2 linked regions of the Pelodiscus sinensis genome follow. The main gene of each other region encodes a partner of the protein of the gene in region 2 in a complex. Links are inferred from orthologs where the notes say so. Each region holds a gene or a part of one and is shown on either strand. Other genes may lie near its edges. The genes, in order: TYROBP and SYK.

Evidence for each region.
Region 1: the proteins of SYK (region 2) and TYROBP are in contact, whole or in part, in a crystal structure (PDB 7Q5W), measured with the Homo sapiens proteins. The link is inferred for Pelodiscus sinensis from reciprocal best matches to the Homo sapiens genes SYK and TYROBP. Residues at the interface, in NP_001167638.1 of Homo sapiens: Arg22, Arg42, Asn46, His62, His63, Tyr64, Thr65, Ile76, Ala77, Gly78, Gly79, His92, Asp97, Gly98, Leu99, Arg175, Arg195, Arg197, Lys212, Leu214, His215, Tyr216, Arg217, Ile228, Pro229, Glu230, Gly231, Lys232, His243, Lys247; in NP_003323.1 of Homo sapiens: Pro90, Tyr91, Gln92, Glu93, Leu94, Gln95, Arg98, Ser99, Asp100, Val101, Tyr102, Ser103, Asp104, Leu105, Asn106.

Annotation. Positions count from the first base shown.
Region 1 is NC_134734.1:4,220,875-4,224,781, reverse strand, and holds the start of TYROBP (TYRO protein tyrosine kinase-binding protein), read left to right. Parts: upstream 1-1,232; 5' UTR 1,233-1,667; coding exon 1,668-1,728; intron 1,729-3,907. UniProt on the Homo sapiens protein: Adapter protein which non-covalently associates with activating receptors found on the surface of a variety of immune cells to mediate signaling and cell activation following ligand binding by the receptors.
Region 2 is NC_134716.1:48,173,364-48,177,270, reverse strand, and holds the start of SYK (tyrosine-protein kinase SYK), read right to left. Parts: upstream 2,739-3,907; 5' UTR 2,316-2,738; intron 1-2,315. UniProt on the Homo sapiens protein: Non-receptor tyrosine kinase which mediates signal transduction downstream of a variety of transmembrane receptors including classical immunoreceptors like the B-cell receptor (BCR).

The sequences.
Region 1 (3,907 bases), on a different chromosome or scaffold from region 2:
TTGCAAGGATCTCAGGAATGGGACGAAAATGGCAGCAACTCTGCCGGAGCAGGTATTGCGGGACGGGATGGGAGCTGGTTAAAAGTAGTCCCGCACAGAGGTCTGTCGTGCAGGTATCGCTGTGGACCTTTGTGAACACGGGCTGGGGCCTGCGGTGTGTGTTGATGGCCTGTGCTCCCCCCCCCCCCCCCCCCCCAACTTGGAGCTGAGCCGGCATCTCTTCATCTTTGCCCTTAGTTCCTAAGGGAGCACAGGCCATCAACAATTTCTTTCCAAGCCTCTCTGGGCAGGCATCTCGGGGGAGCATTTTTGCACGGAGCGGTGTGTGCATGTGTCACTGATTCACGGTGCCAGCCCCGGGAGGCCCTCGTCAGCCCCCTTCAGGGTCACGCTCACGGGGGAAAACCACCTGGTGTCACCCCTCCGGGGACGGAAGGTTGGAGTATTCCACCGCCCTGCCTCACACCGGGAGACCCCCCCAGCCAATCTGACTTGGAAGCCTCGAGGAGACGTGGGCCCCCAACGGGAGCAATTTGTCCCCCAGCCCCGCAATGCGCGTGGCTCTCGGGCGAGTCCGTGGCTGGAGCTCGAAGAAAGCCCCGAGAACAGGAAGTTACAGCCTGGCCCGGCTGGGTCGCTCTGGGCGGTGATCCCTCTCGCGGTCCCGCTCCTGTCCGGCCCCGGCCCGGATAAGGACGTTAAAATGTGTGTACTTGGCTAACCGGCTAACCCCTGGATGCTTCCACCCCACGCCCAGGGAGCCAGCTGCTGCTCTGTGTTGCTGCTGGGAGCCATGCAGGGCCGCTAGGTGCCAACTATCCGGGCCGTTGGCACGCGGCCTTGTGTGGGTGTTAGTGTGTGACGTTCAGACAGGTGTGTCGCTGCCCACACCCAGGCGGGGGAGGGGTGTTAGTGTGTGACGTTCAGACAGGTGTGTCGCTGCCCACACCCAGGCGGGGGAGGGGTGCGTATGTGCTAGCGGCTGCAGGCTTCCTCTTGACCAAACTCCATTCCCAAGGGGAGGAACTGAGATTAGGCTCCGCCTCCTGTGGGGCAGCAGAGGGGCGAGGAGAAGGGCCGTCTCACAAGGTGCAGTGAAGCTGTGGGGCCCGGTCCCTGGCAGAGGGAGGGAGCTGGGGGCAGAGCAGTGTGGGGTGCAGTGAGGGATCGGAGTGCATGAGGTTCAGTGGGGATGGGGGATGCGGTGACCAGGCAGTGGGTTGCACTGGGGGAGGCACTAAACTGTGGGGTTGGGGGTGCAGTGCCCAGCCCAGAAAGAGCAGTGATGTGTGGGGTAATGTCCGCCGTGCAGTGAGTTGGGGGTACACTGGACTGTTGTGGTGTGGGGGTGCAGTGATGGGGGGGCAGTGCCCAGCACACTGGGCTGCAGTGAGGTGTGGGGTGCAGGGCCCAACACAGAGACGTATCAGGGTACAGTATCTGGTACAGGGGAAGTGAAGTTTACCCTGGCCCGGGGGGGGGAGGGGGGGACAGACAGAGCCCTGCAGTCTCTAGCTCCCCGGCTGCCCCTCCCCTTATCCCTTCCTCTTTCTGAGGACTTCCTGTCCGCCCAGTCACTTGGCTCCGTCCCCAGCACCCAGCCCCTCCCGCGGGGACGTCAGTGCCTGGCAGACACCCTCCACCAGCCTCCGCCGAACCCCAGCACCATGGGCCCCCCAGAAGCCCCGACCCTCTGCGCCCTGCTGGGCTTGGCCTGGACGCTGCTGGGTGAGTCTGACCCCTCCAGGGAGAAGCTGTCTCCCCCCCACTGTTCCCCTAAACTGCCCCAGATCTCTCCCCTCCCCCACAGTTTCCCCAGTCTTCTCCCCACAGCCCCCAGAACTATCTCCTCCCCAACCCAGCTGCCCGTTCTCCCCCCCCCAACCTGCTAACACCCAAGTTACCCTCCAGGATCTGCCTTCCCCTTTTCTCCTCCCTTTGTCAAAAGATGTCCCCCCACCCCCACCCCCCACACACACGGGGTCCCCTGACCTGCCTGGGCTGCCACAAAGTGCTTTTTCTTTAAAAAAAGGAAAGGTGCCGGTGCTCCAGGGGGGAAGTAGTTGAGCTCTGACCAGAGGTGCCGGTGCTGGTACTGCGTACTGGGCAGTACCATCACACAAAAGGCACTCGTGGAAACCAGTATCCCCAACAGCCCCCTCCCCAGCCTCCATTGCCCCCCTCCCCCCCCCGCAGCCCAGTCCTGCCTGCCACGAATGGAATCCACCCCCGCACCACAGGCCTGGCCCAGTCTGCTCCTCCCCTGCCTCCCCCCCCCGCCACCTGCCAAGCGTCCTGTCAATCACCAGCCCCCAGCACTGCAGGGGAGAGTGGTCCATTGACAAGCATGAGATGCTGGGGAATGGGGGCAGGATCGGGGGCCCCAGCTGGCATCTGGTGTCTGGTCCACGCTGCCTGTCCCACTCCCACTCTGGGCTTTCCAAGGGAAGACTTGGAGGGAGATGGGCAAGCCCAGGGCACCGGGTTTCTCTTCCTGGCTCTGGGAGGGGAGGCCGGTGGTAAGAGCAGAGGGCTGGGGAGCCAGGTTGCAGCCGGAGTGTGTGGAGCTGGGGCAGGGAGCAACTGCTCCTGGACTCGCCCCATGCATGGCCTTGCTCACATCGCTTACCCTGCTCCCTGCCTCAGTTTCCCCCAGATGAGTGGTGCTACTGGGCCAGCACAGAGGGACCTAGTAGTGGAAGTGGGTGAGGTTGGGACCACAAGCTGTCTGGCTGCCCTGTGGCTGCTCTGTCGGGCTCCTAGTTATGGGTCACCCCTCCCCCAGTTCTATGTATCCTTCCTCCTTCTGTCTCCAGCTTTTGCGTGCTTAAAAATACCCAACCACAGGACTCGGGCTTCCGGCCTCCTCAGCCCTGGCACACCCTCATTGCATTAATGTAATGGAACCCAGCCACCCTACTCTAAACACTAGACCCCGCTCCCGTCGCAGTGCCAGGGAGGGCTCCCAGCCCCCTACTCTAACCACTAGACCCCGCTCCCGTCGCAGTGCCAGGGAGGGCTCCCAGCCCCCTACTCTAACCACTAGACCCCGCTCCCGTCGCAGTGCCAGGGAGGGCTCCCAGCCCCCTACTCTAACCACTAGACCCCGCTCCCGTCGCAGTGCCAGGGAGGGCTCCCAGCCCCCTACTCTAACCACTAGACCCCGCTCCCGTCGCAGTGCCAGGGAGGGCTCCCAGCCCCCTACTCTAACCACTAGACCCCGCTCCCGTCGCAGTGCCAGGGAGGGCTCCCAGCCCCCTACTCTAACCACTAGACCCCACTCCCCTCCTAGACCTGCTAGTGATCTCAGGGTGTTAGACGTGGACAGCCGAAGGGGGCAGGCGTTGGGACAGGGCAGGGCAGGATCATGCTGTACCCCTAGCCCTGCAGTACAGGGGCTGGCACCTAGCACAGAAACCAGAGGCATGAAACTGACCACAGGCCCTGCAGGACCTAGGGACTGGGTGGGCAGGGGGAGCTGGTTTCACTGCACAAAAACTGCAAGGGAGCTACAGTCAGGAGTGACTCCGGATCGACCCCAGCCCTGCCCCCGCTGCAGTCAGGAGTGACTCTGGATCAACCCTGGGGAGCTGGGATCAGAACCAGCCCTGCCCCCGCTGCAGTCAGGAGTGACTCTGGATCAACCCTGGGGAGCTGGGATCAGAACCAGCCCTGCCCCCGCTGCAGTCAGGCATGACTCCGGATCGACCCCGGGGAGCTGGGATCAGAACCAGCCCTGCCCCCGCTGCAGTCAGGCGTGACTTCGGATCGACCCCGGGGAGCTGGGATCGGGATCAGAACCTGCCCTGCCCCCACTGCAGTCAGGCGTGACTCTGGATCGACCCCAGGGAGCTGGGATCAGAACAGTCGGAGAGATGGGAAGTGACTGGCCCGAGTTCCCATGGCC
Region 2 (3,907 bases):
AATGGAGGAAGAATTTGGCTTAGTCACTCCCTGTGCTCCTTTGCCTCTAGGGCCTGATCCAAAGTCCAGTGGCATTAGTGTAAGTCTTTCTAATAACTTTAGTAGGTTTTGAAGAGCAACTCATTAGGTAGACTTACAAAATCAAAATTAACATAAATAACACTGTCAAATAATATCAGACTCATACAACATGAACACCATTGTGAAAATTGGTCTCAATACAGTATATCATATCAGTATTTGGAATGAAAGAGAAAGATGTAAGTTGACTTAAAAAATTAAAACTTGCATCCTCTAACTTCAACAGTAGTTTTACCATTGACATGATTAGTGGAAGCAATAGCAGGCACTTAAATAGGAAGTGCAAAAGAAAGGAATCAAATTAATTAATGCCATTATTGTGTAGTCATTAAAGTTAAAAACATTGAAAACAACATTCATATAATTGTATTAACATATTATTTTTGGCTCCTACTACTTTAAAAAAGACATCCATTAACTGTTTCCAAAATAACTCCCTCCCCCCCCCCCCACTCTATAGGTCAAATTCTGCTCTCATTGACATCAATACAATCATGCTTACTTGGAAGTAGAAATGTAGCTGACTAAAATTTATATCTTTGATTTTACAGTGTTTTATTATTATTTAATAGAAACAAAACCTGAAAGCTTTATAAAATACAACTGTGGATTTTAATTATTCCTCCAACTAAATATGAAAATCAGAATAAATATTAGTCATTAAACTACTCATTCTGATCTTCCTAAAATGGTTTCAAATATTTATTTTGAGTTGTTTTATCTATGAAACCCTTCTCTTAACCTTTCTCCCTTCCCCCAGAAAGTCACAAAATAAAAACACACTCCCGTCTCAAGCTTCCTTATTTCTGCTTTTATCCGTCTTAAGCTTAACAAATGGCTGAGAAAGGAAAGCGTCATAGTTCCTGTAAAAGTACCCACTCCAAATGCTCTCAGGCTAACTGTTTATGGCCCTGACATTCTTATCAGGTCTGTGCCAGGACAATGCATTTGAATCAGACTGAACATTTGATTCCAAAGGTACAGAAAAAGCAAATATTTTGTACGCGGGGAGGGGGCTTGCAGGGGAAGGCCCAAAATAACAGATACCAACCAAAATTATGAGAATGTAAATGGTTTGTTGAACTATGGAAATTAATCATAATAGGGAAATGCTTTCCAAAACTACCTTGTAAATTAAGCCAAATTAAGAAATTTGATTCTGGGCTTGATCCAACACCACTGAAATCAAAGGTATTTGTGCCCGAGAAAGGAATGCTGGCTTTGCCCCAAAATTGGCCTGAGACATCACTTGCTATACTCTCATTTTTTATATCATTCACTCTGTTGAAGTCAATGGAGTTTCACTATTGTAAAATTGAAATAAATAGTGGTGACAGCTTTTTTATTAGAAAAAAAAAAGACATTTGATAAAAATTGTCAGGCTTCAGAACTCTGAACGAAAATACTGTACCTAGTGTCCCGGTAATAACATCTCATGAAAATTATGAACAACATTGTTTTGTTTACAGAACAAACCAGTTTCATAGTCATGCATCCAGATATGCTCATTTACTGGTTCATGCTGACTTGAAAGACAATTATAACTTAAGAGTTTTGTGTTTGCCTTCACAAACTGATATATTTTATTTGTTTACATATTAAGTTGCTTTGTGGAATTGCTTTCTTCTGTTGCTTTTCGGGGCTAATTTTTTTCCTTACAAATGTATTCAATATTTTTAAAAGCATCAGTAGCTGATTCACATGAATTTGCCATGGCATGGTCAGTGTTTTACCTCTTATTATTTAGGTAAATGATACATTGTTTGTTTGTTCTTCAATTTATACATGAAAAGTAAGCTTGGGATGAAACAAAGAAACCTAATTGAGGAAACTTTACCCAGGAAAGCAATTTAAATGTGATCTTACAGGTGGGCCCAAAGAGAAGCTGCAGATTCGAACCCCTCCGAACTTGGTGAGCCTGTGTGTGAATTTTGCAATGTGGGGCCGCTCAATTAAGTGTTCTGTTACTGGATGCAACCCAGCGTGCCTGGCAGGGCGCGAAACACCCTCCCCGCGCCGCGCCGCGGGGGCAAGCAGAGGGGTCCGTGCTGGGGGCGGCGCATCCCCCGCGTGCCCGCAGGAGGGTTGCCCTGGTGTGTTACCCACGCGCGCAGCCCAGTCTAGACGCGAAGCTCCCCCCGCCTTACACCCACACCCCGCGGTGCCCGCAGGACTCCGGAGCGCGCATCCCGCCCGCGGCTCCCTCACCTGCCCGAGCAGGCAGCGGCGCTTACCTAGGCGAGGCGGACGGGGAGCCGCCGCGGGAAGCCTTCCCGGCTGAGCCACCCGGGGGTCCTCGCCTCTGCAGAGAGGGTTCCCCGGGGGACGCCCCCAGCCCCGGAGCAGCGCAAAGGGAGGGGGTAGGGCGGAGGCAGCCGCCGCTGCGGATTTACCGCGGGGGTCGCGGCTCTGGGCAGGAGACGCTCCGGGGCGCTGCCTCCCAGCCTCGCGTTCAGAGGGAGTGACAGCCTCGCTTCCTCATTTTCTGCGGCGGCCGCCCCGGCTACTTCCTCCCAGCCTGGCTCAGCTCACACACTTCCTCATCGGGCAGCTGCTCCCCGGCCCGCGTTATTTGCCTAACAGCTGGGACACGGGCGGAGCGGCCTCGGGCTTCCCGCGCCAGGATGCGCCAGCTCGGCTCTGCCCAGCTCCTCTTCTGCCTTTCCTGGCTGCCGCTTCTAACCCGGCCCTCCTAAACACTCCCTGCACTTCCACACCTCCCTGGCTCGCCTCCGCGCCTCGCCTTGCCCCTAAGCTGGCTGCATTAGAGCGACCCTTTCCGCTTGCCTGTCCGCTCCAAAGCCTTACAGGCAACCTCCACTGGGTTTCCTAGAATTGAAAACAATCTATTGGGCTGGAAGAGACTTGGAGAGGTTAACAAGTCCAGCTACCTTGGCTGAGGCAGGGCCAAGTAAACCTAGCCTCTCCCTGACACATCCTCTTCCTCTAACCTGTTCTTTAAAACTTCCCAGAGGGATTCCACCTCCTCCTTAGAGAACCTGTTCTAGTGTATGGTTACACTAGGGATGTGGGTATCTAGCCCTATATTTAGAAAGTGTTTCCTAATAGCCAACCTTACTCTCTCATTCTGCACATCCAGCTCATTGCCTCATCTTACCTTCAGTGGACATGGAGAATAGTTGTTAACCAGCCTTTCCATAACAGCCCTTAATATGTTTGAAGACTACTAACATAAGAACAGCCATACTGAGTCAAACCAAAGGTCCATCTAGCCCAGTATCCTGTTTTTCAACAGTAGCCAATGGCAGGTGCCCCATGGGGAATGAATGGAACAGGTAATTACCATGTGATCGAACTCCTGATGCCCATTCTCAGTTTCTGACAGAGGCCTGTCAGAAAAAAGTTTCTGACACTATTCCTAACCATCCTGGCTAATAGCCATTGATGGACCTATCTTCCATGCTTTTGTGAACCCTGTTAAAGTCCTAGTCTTCCCAACATCCTCTGGCAAGGAGTTCCACAGAACTGTGCTCTATAAAGAAATACTTCCTTTTGTTTCTTGTAAACCTGCTACCTATTAATTTCACTTGATCCCTAGTTCTTGTATTATGGGAACAAGTAAATAACTTTTATTTACTTTCTCAACACCAGTCATGATTTTATAGACCTCTATCATATCTCCTCTCAGGGTACATCTACACTGCAACGCTATTTCAAGATAACTAGCATTATTCCGAAATAACTTAGTCCGCATATACACAGCAAGAAGTTATTTTGAAAGTGTCAAAATACTGTCAAGGTGGAGGACTTCTTACTCTGACTCCTGTAACCCTCTTTGTATGAGGAATAAGGGAAGTCAGAGAAA